Linked DNA regions of Lonchura striata. Each later gene encodes a partner of the first gene's protein in a complex. Links are inferred from orthologs where the notes say so. Each region holds a gene or a part of one and is shown on either strand. Other genes may lie near its edges.

What was found. Proteins that work in one complex are often made in the same cells at the same time.
Region 2: the proteins of RAB11A (region 1) and RAB11FIP3 are in contact, whole or in part, in a crystal structure (PDB 2HV8), measured with the Homo sapiens proteins. The link is inferred for Lonchura striata from reciprocal best matches to the Homo sapiens genes RAB11A and RAB11FIP3. Residues at the interface, in NP_004654.1 of Homo sapiens: Arg33, Ile44, Gly45, Val46, Glu47, Phe48, Ala49, Thr50, Trp65, Arg72, Arg74, Ala75, Ile76, Ala79, Tyr80, Arg82; in NP_055515.1 of Homo sapiens: Asn731, Phe732, Gln735, Ile738, Asp739, Arg740, Ile742, Val743, Met746, Glu747, Pro750, Ser751, Leu753, Glu754, Val755, Lys756.

What each region holds. Positions count from the first base shown.
Region 1 is NC_134613.1:22,382,980-22,389,958, reverse strand, and holds the start of RAB11A (ras-related protein Rab-11A), read right to left. Parts: upstream 3,010-6,979; 5' UTR 2,898-3,009; coding exon 2,858-2,897; intron 1-2,857. UniProt on the Homo sapiens protein: The small GTPases Rab are key regulators of intracellular membrane trafficking, from the formation of transport vesicles to their fusion with membranes.
Region 2 is NC_134618.1:3,317,923-3,324,800, reverse strand, and holds the start of RAB11FIP3 (rab11 family-interacting protein 3), read left to right. Parts: upstream 1-3,865; 5' UTR 3,866-3,971; coding exon 3,972-4,610; intron 4,611-6,878. Other genes in the region: DECR2 (peroxisomal 2,4-dienoyl-CoA reductase [(3E)-enoyl-CoA-producing]), read left to right, coding at 357-391. UniProt on the Homo sapiens protein: Downstream effector molecule for Rab11 GTPase which is involved in endocytic trafficking, cytokinesis and intracellular ciliogenesis by participating in membrane delivery. Recruited by Rab11 to endosomes where it links Rab11 to dynein motor complex.

The DNA of each region.
Region 1 (6,979 bases):
CTCCTACTAAAATGAGAGCAAGATTTATATGAACTGTACTTCATAGGCCTTGTGTTTCCTCAGGGGCCATTCTGGGAACAGCAGGCACTGCTCTCAGCCAGACCGTGAAAGTATGGAAGAATACAAAGACTGGAAGCTGGACGAGAAGAATTTAACAGAAACTGTTTTTTATCAAGCTAGGTTTAGTCCTTCCTATATGCTGAAGTGTTGCAACACAGTCAGGAGAAGTGTATTTTGTAACAGGTCCCTGGATTTTACTGTACAGCAGCACAGGTGGGCTCAGCTTTCACCCAGCAGCAGAGTCAACCAGATTTCAACACACAGCTGCAGTCAGGACAAAACCAGAGGTCTCACAAACAGAAACGTGGCAGTTCAGCCCAGGAACAGTAAAAAACAGCCAGACTAGAGAAGATCACATGATTGTTTTAACCAGGTTAAACTCTGAACTCAGTCCCACCAACCGACCCATACAGTCCCTTAAGAAACTCAGAAATGTCCTGCTGGATGAAGTGTCCTGACAGGCCAACACCCAGAGTCTGACTCCAAATAACTGATGTCCAAAAACCCTGATGTGCATCACAGCAAACAGGCTAATCTCTGTCCTAGCCAGCCCCTGCATCTTCAAATAAGCAATGCCTTCAGACTTGCCATCGTAACTGTCACACTGACACACCCCAAACAAGATTTTTTGCTTCTATGAATTTGTGCAGGCTTTCAAATCCATTTACAATATGCATGGCAATGCATCACTCCAAAATTTGCATACACACCTGAGGGATTTTGTCCATTTGCTTTCACCCGCTACCCAATAAAAGAAGCATTACAGATATCCAGAGAAATTACGACAAACAGGAGAAACTTACCCTATTTGCCCTTATCACTCACTGTTTAAATTTTAATCAAGCTGTACATCAATTGAGTATAAGGACTATGAATCCATTAGGTCTCTTTTCTGATCATTTTGATGCCTTTCTCCATCTTTTTAATTCTACAACATCCCTTTCAAAATGGTTATGTCTGTCATGGCTACACATCACCTCAATTCCCAAGAAGCTCATGTCTCAAATTCAAGCACTGACTTAACGCTCTCCCCAAGTTCCCACTTCCTTTTCCAAAATATTTACCTATATTTACCCCTAGCCTTTTTGACCAGTGCCTGGCAAAAGACATTCAGTTCAGAGATCTCCTTGCAGTAATTTCCAGATCATTCCAGAGTGGTGACAGCTTGTTTAGAACCACCATCACCTCTGGGAAGTTACAAAAGTTTCCACAGTTTCATTATTCTGCATTTTTGTGTTATTTCAGCTGCCACATCAATCCCAGTTAAGTGACAGACATTGCATCAACTTCCTGCAGTCCACTTTAGGCTGGAAAAATCCAAATCATTTATTTTCACAACAGCATTTTGACAGCATTCCCTGCACCCTCAATGGCTTCCATAAACCAAGCTGAACAGAAAACGCTTTAGCAAAGGCAATCAATTAAATCAGCTTTGCACTTCTCTCTATAACTGGATTCCAACTTTATATTTTCCCAACTAGAAAAGGAAGCAGGCCAAATGAAAGATAGGAGCTCTCCCAATAAACTCTGTGTCACTGATATTCCCAGGCTTCCACAGCTAGAACATTAATTACAAGCCCACTGACAGAACTGCAAGAACAATGGGAATTCAATGGCTTTGATAACCTGTACCTACAACAACATTGCCTGATGCCATTAAAACAGTGGTCAGCAAGGTCCTTGCCAGGGCTGCAAGCTGAGAAAAGAGCTCATTCTGGACCTTCCTGATTTGCTTTCCATAACAGTACAGATGTCTGATTTATAGGTAGAAATAATGGCACTTTCCACATGCAACTGGACAAAACAGCCAACAACAACAAAAAAAATGTAATTCCTCAAAGTTATTACAGGAGCTTAAAGGTACAGAAAAAAACATCAATATTTTACCTTTGTGAGGACAAGCACAGGGTCTGCCACCATTAAAACACAAGTAATGCTCTTAATCCTAAATTCAAATTTACAATATCACATCACAATAAACAACTACTTTTTTACACTACTTTGCTTGCTTTTACAGTGGGATTTTAAAAACTGGATAGTCAACTTTCAAAATATCAGCACTTCTGTACACATTTCACAGCAGGCCACATGAACCTGTCCAGCAGGCCGGTGTTTTACTCTGCAGGGAGTGAAAATTGAATATTTAACAACAACCTGGGAGGTTTTAATCCGACTTGCCACCGCATCGCAGACTGCAGGGGCATCAGCCCTGGGAATGACGGCATTCCTGCCCTTCCCTGGGGGAGCCAGGACAGAGCAAGGCCAGGCTGGACGGGGCTTGGAGCAACCTGGGACAGTGGAAGGTGTCCCTGCCCATGGCAGGGGCTTGGAATGCGATCATCTTAAGGTCCCTTCCCACTCAAACCATTCCATGATTGCAGGAGGATTTTATGATCTCTGGGCGTGGAGCAGCAGGGACATTCCACTCCTCGCCATGGGCTCTGAACACAGAAGGCAGCAAGGAGTACTATTTGATTAAATGAGCGCATCATTTATCAATGCTGAGTATATCTCGCCCACTCTAAAGCTCTATTTAACAGCTGGAAAGGTTCTTGTCAACCTTGAGGAGTCCTTTTCAGCCCTGGGCATCCTTCCTGGCGATCTCTGCTCGCCACCCCGCAGACCGTGCCGGGGCGGCCTCGGGCGGGCGCTGGCACCAAATCCGCCGGCCCGGAGCTGGCATTGTGCGTGAGGGAGGGCCGGACACCCGAGCGGGGCCCGGCGGTGCCCGGAGCGCTCCCGCACCCGCCGGGCCGCGCCCGCGGGCCCCGCCGCTCTCCCGCCCTGCCCGCCTCACCTTTGAAGAGATAATCGTACTCGTCGTCGCGGGTGCCCATGGCGGGTGGCGGAGGAGCGGGACCGGGAGCGCAGCGGAGCGGGGCCGGACCCTCCCTGCAGCCGCCGCAGCTCTTCCGCCCTCCGCGCTCCGCCCGCCCGCCCACAGGCGCTTCCGGGGCAGCGGCGCCGCCGCACGACCGCGCCCGAGGCAGCGCCGCGGCCGCGCCCTCAGCGGGGCCCGGCGGGCGGGGGTCCCGCCCGGCCCCGGAGCCCCCAGCGCCGAGCCCCCTCCGCCGCCCTGAGGGAGCGGCCGCGCTGCGGCGGCGAGCGGCGCGAGGAACTAGGGGCAGCCGGGAGGGGGTGGTGGCAGAGCGGTTCCATGGTGTAATGGTTAGCACTCTGGACTCTGAATCCAGCGATCCGAGTTCAAATCTCGGTGGAACCTGAATCTTTTCTACCCCCAGTTCGCTTTTATTTCTTTTCGGCTTTGTGTGCCCAAACGATGCTCGGGCTTCTCTGAGGAGTCCCTGTGCCCAAAGGATGGATGGGCACACTGAGCTCTCCGGATCCCTGTACTCAATGCCCAGGCACGCTCCCTCCAGGATCTCTGAGCCTATTCCCAAAGGATGGATGGGCACACTGAGTTCCCCGGACTCCTGTACTCCTGTACAGCCCAGGCACAGTCCATCCAGGATCTCTGAGCCTATTCCCAAAGGATGGATGGGCACACTGAGCTCTCCGGATCCCTGTACTCAATGCCCAGGCACAGTCCATCCAGGATCTCTGAGCCTATTCCCAAAGGATGGATGGGTACACTGAGCTCTCCGGATTCCTGTACTCAATGCCCAGGCACGCTCCCTCCAGGATCTCTGAGCCTATTCCCAAAGGATGGATGGGCACACTGAGCTACCCGGAATCCTGTGCCCAAGTGATGGCTGGGCATGCTCCGAGCTCCCTGGGCCTCTTCACACACTGTGATAATCTCACCTCACCTCTTGCCTGGAGCCCACCAACTTTAACCCCCACCATGGGGTGGGTGCCCTTCTCCTGCCTCCATGGGCAGGCACTGGCTCATCCCAAAGCCACCCACTAGCACAGGGGAACTTGGGGTTGGTCGATGGGAAGTCCCCCAAGAAGATCCCTCCTGTGAACTGAGCTGAGAGAGTCATATGAGCTTGTGGAGGTATTAGAGAGGCCAACAAGCTCTTTCAGCTCATAAGGTGCAAAAAAGCCATGAGCACAGGCCCCTTTCCCACTGCCACACCTGCCCACCCTGCTTCTCCCTTCCCAAAAGGTGTCCGGTTCCCCTTGTCTCCCCTGTGCCATGGCAGACACCAACTTTGTCATCAGCTTCTCCTGGTGCAGGCTTGAGATACAAACAACAGAGGATAAAAATAGCACTTGTGTCCAGATGATTAAACAGAATCCCTTAAAACTGCTCTTTCCCACCAGCCTGCCCTCAGCAGCAGCGTGTTTGCCATCACTGCAGTCAGTGGCTGTGTCATCATTCCTGCGTGTGGAAAGTAACCCCCAGGCATCAGCAGCAGTGCTGTGCAGCAGTTACCGTCTGCTGGCACCATAACGAGCCAGAACGTGATCCTCTGCATTTAAAGAGAAATCTTTCATGCTGCCTCAGAGCTTCCAAGTGGGGAAAACAAACATTAATAACAAAGACACCTGAAGGGTGACTGCAGCGTGTCCCTCCACAGGTCACAGAGGCATCACAGTCTGGGCTCACCCACACCCTGCTGCCAGCCTCTGATGTGCCCTGCACCTCCAGCTCCTCACAGGGGGTAGTGTAGTGGTGAGGGCTATAGGCATCTGTGTTGGATTCATCCTTTTTATCTCCAGCTAAACCCAGAATACACAAAATTTTGAACCTGAAAATGCTCATCCAGCTCCTGCCTTTCTCAATCCCCCGGCATTGAGTAGTACATCAAATAGATAACAGATACTTGCCTGTGTAGAGGCTGGGTATATTTATAATTCAGGAGCTCAGGTTTCTATCTCATATCCTATTTGCACTTGTCCATTAAACTTTGTTGTTAAAAAGCTATTAATTTTCACTTGATGTTTCTCAGACCTGGTTTCATCCTCCAGAACTGCTTTTAGAGCTAAAAAGCCTTAAAATAACACAGATTAAGTACCTCTAGTTATTCTCCTGTAAGAGCTGTTCTCCTTTTCATGCTTTGGATTGTGTTTGTGAGCCTAGAAACACCCTTTATTTACATTTTTCATGTGTGCAAGCATTACTTCCTCTTGCATCACATTGCAGATGTTCCTCATCTGGAACTGACTTACCCTGTGCAAGAGTTTAGGGCACAGAGTGAGGACAGTGGCTCTTCTGGCTTAGGTAAAAATCACAATCCCCACACTGCTGCAGCACTGTCACTTGTTGAACTTGAGCCATTGTAAAGCAAAGACATTTTTACCATTGATTTTTTTTAGCAAAACATGACTAGTTGTGCAGATTGCTATGGAATTGGGCAGCAGCAGGGATTACTTCTAGCTAAGCCTGTTTGAATGCAATTGACATTTAAAATCAGATTCTTCACGGTGAAAACTGAAACAGTAGAAAGAGCTCTGTGTCTAAACAGGAATCAACAGAGCAGGACATGAGGAGAGCATTGAACTAGCAAGGAGCTCCAGAAATTAAAGTCTTATATCCTGTTCAGTTCTGGGTTAATTTTGTTGCTATTCAAGCCACAGAGGAGAATATCCAAAGCCTCAGGAAATGTCACTGTCAGCACAGGCTGGTTTGGGCTGCTCTGCTCTTTCCCTGTGTCCCCTCCCAGAGTGAATTGCTGCAGAGATGGGACGGCCTGGGACACCTGCTGTGCACAGGAAACACAGCCAGAAAGCAGAGGTCAGGCTGGAATAACAGAGACTGTGCTCTCCAACTGACAGCTTTTATTGTGAGAACAGTCACTCAGCACTGGCATTTCTGCTGCATTAATTGCCATTAGTGTCATCCTTGCAGGAACACTAAATTCATGGCAAACCTTGAATTAGCACGCTCTCATAATTCCTGACTTAGGCAGAACCATTTGCAGAGGCAGCACATCCCAAGCAACTGGAGCAGAGACAAGGGATGATACTCAGCTGGGCCTTGGCTGGTCAATTTAGCAAAGAAAGAAGCAGAGGTCACACTCATAACTGTGTATTTATGGGTCTGTTCTGGAAATTCCCAGAGCAGCTGCCAAAAAGAGCCCAGCACCATTAAGGTGCAGATGTGTGTCAGGGCTTCCAGGTCTCAGCTGCCCAGCCCCAGGCACTGTGCATCAAGATCTCCCTGCATCCAATTCTCACTTCATTCTCCACTTCCCTCTTCCCACCAACTCCTGAGATCCCCCAGAGTAATCCTGGCCTAATAAAGTGGAAAATTTACCACCAGCCTTGATGGGTGTGGCATTCCCACAACAAGGTCAAGATGTTTTTGCAGAGCACACTGGTGGTATTTGACATGGAAATGGCAGAATGTGAAACAGGGATGGCCAGTATTTGCTGCTGGTCCCAGCAAAAAAAGAAAAAGCTTTTCTGGCTCGGAAATCCCTGTTCACACTTTGCAAATCCATCTCTTTGCAAAGCTCAGAGAAGATTTGGGATTGGAAATCACAATAATTCAAAATTGTCCTTGAAGGGCTGTTGACCCAAATTCCCATTTCCTGGATAAAAGCAGCCCCTGGCTTTCCTGGGGCAGAAAGCAGGAAGGACAAAAGCAAAGGCCCAGAACTGTGTTTTATCAGAGGAGAAATATTTCCTAAGGGGAAAATTCAATCAATACTTTGCAATTTCCTAACAATCCATTAATCATTGCAATTATGCAGAGATAATTCAAGCTTTCGAATCCAGCTGCTAAATTAGAGACAAGCGTACTCTTAGCACGCACTATCCTCAGTTTCACATGTCAGTCAGAAAAAAACTCCTTCAAATATAAAATCTCTCCACAGAAATTTAAAGAAACCAATTATTTTTAGAAACCTAGACCAATTTAAAGGGTTTACAATGTACAAGGATTCTATTTTCCAGGTAATTCTATGCCACAGGTAGGAATAATGAAAATACATGGAGTTAATATGAATTTTTCTGCATTCCATCACCTGCTATGTCCTTTCTGATTTCTACAGCTTTAAGAAGAAAA
Region 2 (6,878 bases), on another chromosome or scaffold:
CCCAGGGCATGGCTGCTGTAGCAGTGGGTGCACTGTCCTCATGGATAGTCCTTGGGATGAGCAGAACCTGCTGGATTTTCCCTTTGAGCCCGGCTTGTGACGTGGTGTCTTGTGGATGTTTGTCCAGACACCTCTGAGATTCCCCCAAAGCAACACAATGCCCATTTTCTGTGCCCCAGCAGCAGGATTGAGCACAGAGAATCCCAAGAGCCTCTTCCTTTCATGAATTCCTGCAGCCTGGCAGGGGAAGGGGTCTCCTGCCTTCCTCTCCTCCCTGCCTGTGTCCCACCTGGCAGCCTCCAGGAGCTGGGCAGGCCCCAGCAGGGCTCTGTCCCCACCTCCACCCTCTCTTGCAGATGTCTGGGCTGCGGGAGCAAACCAACCCCACTGACGGACAGCCTGGGACTGACTGACGGACAGATGTGACATGGGACACCGTGTGGGGACATCTCCCAGAGCCAGTGCTGACAGCCACAGCCTCTCCTCGGCCACTGGTGGTACTGGTGACGCTGCCAGTCCCATGTCTGCCTGAGGGACACAGCTCTGGGTGCTGGGTGGGGACCAAGGCCACCCCCATCCTGTGCCATTGCTGCCTTCTGAGCTGGCCTGGCTGTGGGTGCACAGACAGCTGGGAGGGCTGAGGTGGTCTCTGGCCCTTTGTGGCTCCCTCCAAGCTGCTCTGGTGGCCTTTCCCAAGCCTCCAGCAGTGCCACCCGTGGGTACCCATCCTCTTAGTCCCCTCTCCCCTGTCTTACCCTGAGAACTTCACGAGACCCCCAGCAGCAGCTCCTTTTTGGGAGGGGAAGCAGCTCAGCCCGCCTGGGGTCACCCAGCGTGGTGGGCTCAGTTCTGCCCTGGCAACTCTTGGAGGGGAAACCCTGGCAGGGGGAGGTGGCTGTGTCCCCTGAGGGGTCCTGGGTGGGACAGTGGTCCTGGGAGGCTGCCAGGGATGCAGCTGGGATGCCCCTGCAGGAGCAGAGGTGGTGTGAGGGCAGATCCCCCAGGTCCAGTTCTGCACTGCAGTGTCCAGTGGTCTGTCCACACCCGTCTGTCTGTCACACCAGTGTCATGCTGTCTCCTTCTGCTCAAGCTGAGGCAAAGTGAAGGGCTCGAACTGGAATCTAGTCCTTTCCTCCTGCTGGGCTGCAGGAGGCACAGCAGGGCTGCACGGGTGGCACTGCTGGAGCCAGCCCTGTTCCTGGTGCTGGCACCCCAGGGGACACACGCTGCTCATGTGCACCCTCCTGCTGCTGCTGGTAGTTCGTAGGCTCACCCTGGATTCCATGAAGCTTGTTTTCCCATTTGATTTCCTATTTGATTGTAGACTTGCCAGGTTTTACCCCTCCCTCCAGGCCACCAATAAAGAATTTTCCCCCTGAGCAGTGATGCCTCTCTCTGCTGCAGGAGCACCAGTGCCCTGCTCAGCTGACTGGTCCAAACTGGGTGCTGAGGGAGGGGGAAAAGCCACTGCTCCCACTGCCAGGGCCTTGTGTGGCTCCAGTCCTTGGCTCTGTGGTGCCTCAGTGCTCCAGGCCACGGGGCTTGGGGACCTGCCAGCTCCTCATCCCCAGGGGCTCTGGGAAGGTGGTTCCAGAGGTGGTGGGAGGTGCTGAGGGCTTTGGTGAGAGGCTCAGCCCTTCACGGGGACAGGGATGCAGTGCTTGGGCTGGAGTCTGGGTGGATCCTTAGTCTGGGATGTGGCTCCAGCTGCAGTGTTCTCTTGCTGGATCCCAGGATGTGTTTTCTCCTGGGGAAGGTTCCTGTGTGCTGTGTGTTGGCCCTTCTGCCCAGCTGCAGCCTTGTCTCTGGGAGGCTCCATGGATTTTGCTGTTCCACCATGCCCAGGTGACCTGGGCACTGTCAGGGCTGTCCTGGCTCCGTGGCCACCCCAGGAAGGAGCTGAGCTTGTGTCTCCAGCAGCAGGGGAAGGACAGAGCTCCGGGCCCAGCCTTGGCATAGCCCGGAGCTTCAGGAACCCACCCAGGGGTGCAGAGCTGCCTCTCACAGCATCAGGCTGGCACCTCATGCCCTGCCAGCCCCGTCCGTGCAGGAACCCTGGCTGCTGGAGCTGTCTGGAAGCTGGGAATTGCCCAGGGGATGGCTGAGGCAGGTGCTGCTGTGCTTCCCCTGTGGGGCTGACCAAGGAGCTCCCTACTGCCCTGCTCACCTTTAGGAATGGCTGTGCTGAGGAGGAGGATTTGGAATGAAGGATCTGGAGGATTTGTGGGGCTGACCAAGGAGCCCCATCCTGCCCAGCGCTGGGCTGACTGGACAGGGGTGACCTCTCTCTGGGGATGCTGCTGAGCTCTGGCTCTTGGGCTGAGTGTGCTGGGGGTCACACTGTGGCCCAACCAGGCTGCTCATGAGATGTCACACACATCCGTGACCTGGGCAGGGTCACTGGGGCCAAGGATGCTCCTGCTCATCAAGTTTGCTGCTAATTATACCCAGGGGCTGTAATTCCACACGCTGGGCAGCTCAGGAGTGTGTTAGTGGGGTCATCCACAGAACCTCCATCAATGAACCCATTGATGAGGTGCCAGGGCTGTCCCGGTGCTCAGCTCCCCCCGGAGCACTCGGGCATCCCGGGGCACAGTGCTGCCCCACTGGGGTTGGGGGTCCCAGCTCCTCTCCCCAAGGGATTTGGGGTTCCAGTGCACAGTTCACACCTGAAGCAGCTGGGCAGTGCCATTGCGCAGTTCCCCCCACAGAGATTTGGGGTCCCAGAGTGAGGTTTGGGTTTGGGGTCCCAGAGCATGGTTTGGGGTCCTGGAGCACAGTTTGGGTTTGGGGTTCCCAAGCGCGGTTTGGTTTTGGGGTCCCAAAGCAGGGTTTGGGTTTGGGGTCCCAGAGCACGGTTTGGGGTCCTGGAGCACAGTTTGGGTTTGGGGTTCCCAAACGCGGTTTGGGTTTGGGGTCCTGAAGCACAGTTTGGGTTTGGGGTCCCAGAGCACGGTTTGGGTTTGGGGTCCTAGAGCACGGTTTGGGATCCCGGAGCAGGGTTTGATTTTGGGGTCCTGGAGCGCAGTCTGGGTTTGGGGTCCTAGAGCATAGTTTGGGATCCCGGAACGCTGTTTGGGTTTGGGCTCCCGGAGCAGGCTGTGGGGTCCCGGAGCAGGGTGTGGGGTCCCGGAGCAGGGTGTGGGGTCCCGGAGCAGGGTTCGGGGTCCCGGAGCAGGGTTCGGGTGTGGGGTCCCGGAGCAGGGTTTGGGGTCCCGGAGCAGGGTTCGGGTTCGGGGTCCCGGAGCAGGGTTCGGGGTCCCGGAGCAGGGTGTGGGGTCCCGGAGCAGGGTTCGGGGTCCCGGAGCAGGGTTTGGGGTCCTGGAGCAGGGTTCGGGGTCCCGGAGCAGGGTTCGGGTTCGGGGTCCCGGAGCAGGGTTTGGGGTCCCGGAGCAGGGTTCGGGTGTGGGGTCCCGGAGCAGGGTTTGTTTCCCAGCAGGGGGATCTGGGGGTCCCCGCTCACAGCGCCCCCCGGCCCCACGTGCTCGCGCTCCGCCGGCCCCGCCCCCGCCGCGCGCGCCCGGGGAGGGGGCGTGGCCTCGGTCGGGCTCGCGCCGCGGAGGGGCGGGGCGGACCGGCAGGCGAGTGACGTCACCGCCCCGGCTACTGCGGCGGCGGGGCTGGAGCTGCCGCTGGTCCGCGGCGGCCCCGGAGCGGCGGCGCGGGCGGGCGGCCGGTGGGGTTGTTCCTCGGCGCCGCCGCCGCCTCCCCCAACCCCCGATCCCGGCCAGGACCCGCAGCCCCGGCGCTCGGAGCCGCCGCTCCCCGCGCTCGGAGCCGCCGCTCCCCGCGCAGGGCGGGACCGGCGGGGCCGCCCCCGGTGTCGGCGGGCGGGGCCGGCGTTCCTCGCACAAAGCCGTGAGTGCCGCGGGGACCGTACCGGTACCGGCACCGCCCCGATGTGAGCGGGGCATGGCCGCGGGGCATGGCCCGGGTCGGGCGGCGGTGGGCGCGCAGCGCCGGCGGTGAAGATGGAGCCGCGTCCGCCTGGGACCGAGCCCCCGCTGCCCCGGGGGCCGGGACCCGGGCCCGAGCCGGAGCTGGAACCGGAACCAGAACCCGAGCTAGAGCTGGAACCGGAGCCGGACCTGGACGTGCAGCGGGAACCGGAGCCGGAGCTGGAACCAGAACCCGAGCTGGAGCTGGAACCGGAACCGGAGCTGGAACCAGAACCCGAGCTGGAGCTGGAGCTGGAACCAGAACCCGAGCTGGAGCTGGAGCTGGAACCGGAACCGGAGCTGGAACCAGAACCCGAGCTGGAGCTGGAACCGGAGCCGGAGCTGGAACCGGAGCCGGAGCTAGAACCAGAACCCGAGCTGGAGCTGGAACCGGAGCCGGAGCTGGAACCGGAGCCGGGGCTGGAAGAGGAGGCGGACCTGGGCCCGGAGCTGGATCTGGACCTCTGGGCACTTGAGCCCGCCGCTCCCGGCGCGGGGCCGCCGCCCTGGTGCCCGGGGGAGGCCGGGGACAGCCCGGGGAGCCCCGCCGAGCCCCCGCCGGAGGAGGAGCCGCGCCTCCGCCCGGTCTTCGACGCCCTGGACCGGGACGGCGATGGCTTCGTGCGCGTGGAGGAGTTCGTGCAGTTCGCCACGGCCTACGGCGCCGAGCAGGTGAGCACCGGGCACCGCACCTGCCCACCGCGGGGCCCGGGCCGGGGCACCGGCCGTGGCGGCACCGCTTGTTGCCCGGTGCCCCGCCGCCCGAGGCTGATGGTGGTGGTGGCTTCTGCCCGGCCTCCGGCCCTTGGAGAGCTCCGTGTCCCCAAGGCCGGCGCTGGCATCCCGTCGCCGCGGGTGAAGGGCACGCGTGGCTCCCGGAGCTGCCGTGCTCCGGGGGAGCGGCGCCGCCGGCTGCCCGCAGCTCTTTGTTCTGCAGCGCTGCCGCCCCGGGGCTCGCCGGGCAGCGGCACATCCCGGCCCGGGGGCTGCTCCGTGCCAACCCTGCTGACCCCGGCTCACCCCATAACGGGGAGCATCCCTGCCCGCGGGTTGGAACGAGGTGATCCTTCAGGGCCTTCCCAACGCAGACCATTCCCTGCTTCCCTGCTTCCTCGCTTGTCCCGGCTTTGACAGCTCGAATGAGGATTTCCCCCATCCTGCTGCTTTGTGCCCTGCCCAGCCGGTGTTCCCCTGCAGCAGATCACGGGCGATGTAATTTGAAGCTGACTAAAAATGGAGCAAGCTCCGGCAGCGCTCACCAGGGGATGGAGATGGATTTCTTGGTGTTTAGTGCATTGGCCTGGGCTGGCATCGCTACCAGGAAAAGAAAATTTATTTTTTTAAGGAATGCAGGTATTGCTGTGAAGTTTTCCCTGTGCCTGCCCGGATCTGCTCTCGTTCTCCATCCGTGGCAGCTGCGCGGGTATTTAAGTGCCATGACAAAGCAAATCATGTGTGAAGGAGGCTTTTGATGGAGGAGAGCTTTTTATCCCTGTCCTTGTGCCAGAAACACCTCTCAAAGATAAAACAGAGATATTTATTTTAGAAAAATAGCCCTGCAAAGTGGAGACAGGGAAGACAGGGAACTTCTTGGTGTTGCAGAAGGGTGCAGAGGGTTGCTCTGTGTGTGCAGAGGGTCTCTAGGTGTGAGCTCAGGTACCTCGGCTGCTCCTGCCTGTGCCAGCAGAGAGGCTTGATTCCTAAATCCTCTCTCCTGCCCTGCCTGGGCCAGGCTCCTGTGCCACCGCTCCGGTGTCCCACTGCTGTCCCCAGCAGAGGAGACAGGAGCAGACAGCCCACGGAGGCTCCTGCACACGGTGCCACCTCCCGGGGGACTGTTTGCCTTTGTGTCCTTCGGCGTGGAGCAGCCCAAGGACGTGGGAAATGGGGACAGGAGGTGGCGTGTGCGTGGCAGGGGACGTGGCGGGTGGCTCTGGGTGTGCAGCTCAGCCTGGCGGTGCCGGTGTCGGCGTGGGGATGGTGCCAGAGCTCCAGAGGGGCCTCACTGAGCCTGGAAAACACCCTCAGACCATGGCTGGGGAGTGGCTGTGGGCTGCTCAGGTCACCCCAAAGCTCAGGAGGTTTTGTGCTGTTGGATAGTGTCTGTCCACATGGATCCGTCTGGGAAGGGGCTCTCTGCAGGCTCCCCGTTCCGGCCTGCTGAGCACAGCTAATGCTGCCATAAATGATGCTTTGAAAACCCATTTCTCTTCAGCAAGAGGCTCTGGCGTGCAGGACAGCTGGGTGCTGGCACAGCGGGTGCTGAGCCCCTTGGGGAGGTTGGTGTGGCAATGCCTGAGCCAGCAGGTCCTGGGCACTCCAGGGGACTGGCAGAGGGGGAAAGGTGATGCCTGTGTGTGCAGGAGGACTTGGTGTGAGTCTGCAGCTTAGAAAGGACCAGGACACGCTGAGGGAGGGCGAGAAGGGGTTGGTGATGGGGTCTGTGAGCTCTCAGCAGATCATATTTGTTCCTCATTAACTGCCCTTTGTGATTACCCAGGCAGCCACCACACCCCGACCCCTCTCTCGCAGCATCCCAGTTCTGGTTGTGGCACAACCTCTATTTACACCTTCAGGTCCCATTTAGTGGGAAGGGTCCCACAGGAATCACTGGGTCCAGACACCCCAGCAATCCCACCCTGGGCATCCCTGAGATCATTGTCCAAACCCTCCTGGAGCTCTGGCAGCCTTGGGGCTGTGCCTGTTCCCTGGGGAGCCTGGGCAGTGCCCAGCACCTCTGGGGGAAGAACCTTTCCTCATCTCCAACCTGAGCCCCCTGATTCATGGAATAATAAAGGAAGGAGTCCTGGGGAAGTTCCTTGACCTGTCTTTCATGAGGCAGCTGGAACCTGGACCCAGAGTGGATCTTCTAGAAAACAGAGATCAGCTCAGGTGGGAGTTAAAGGGGAGGAACATCCCCGGTGGTAAAACGTGATCAGG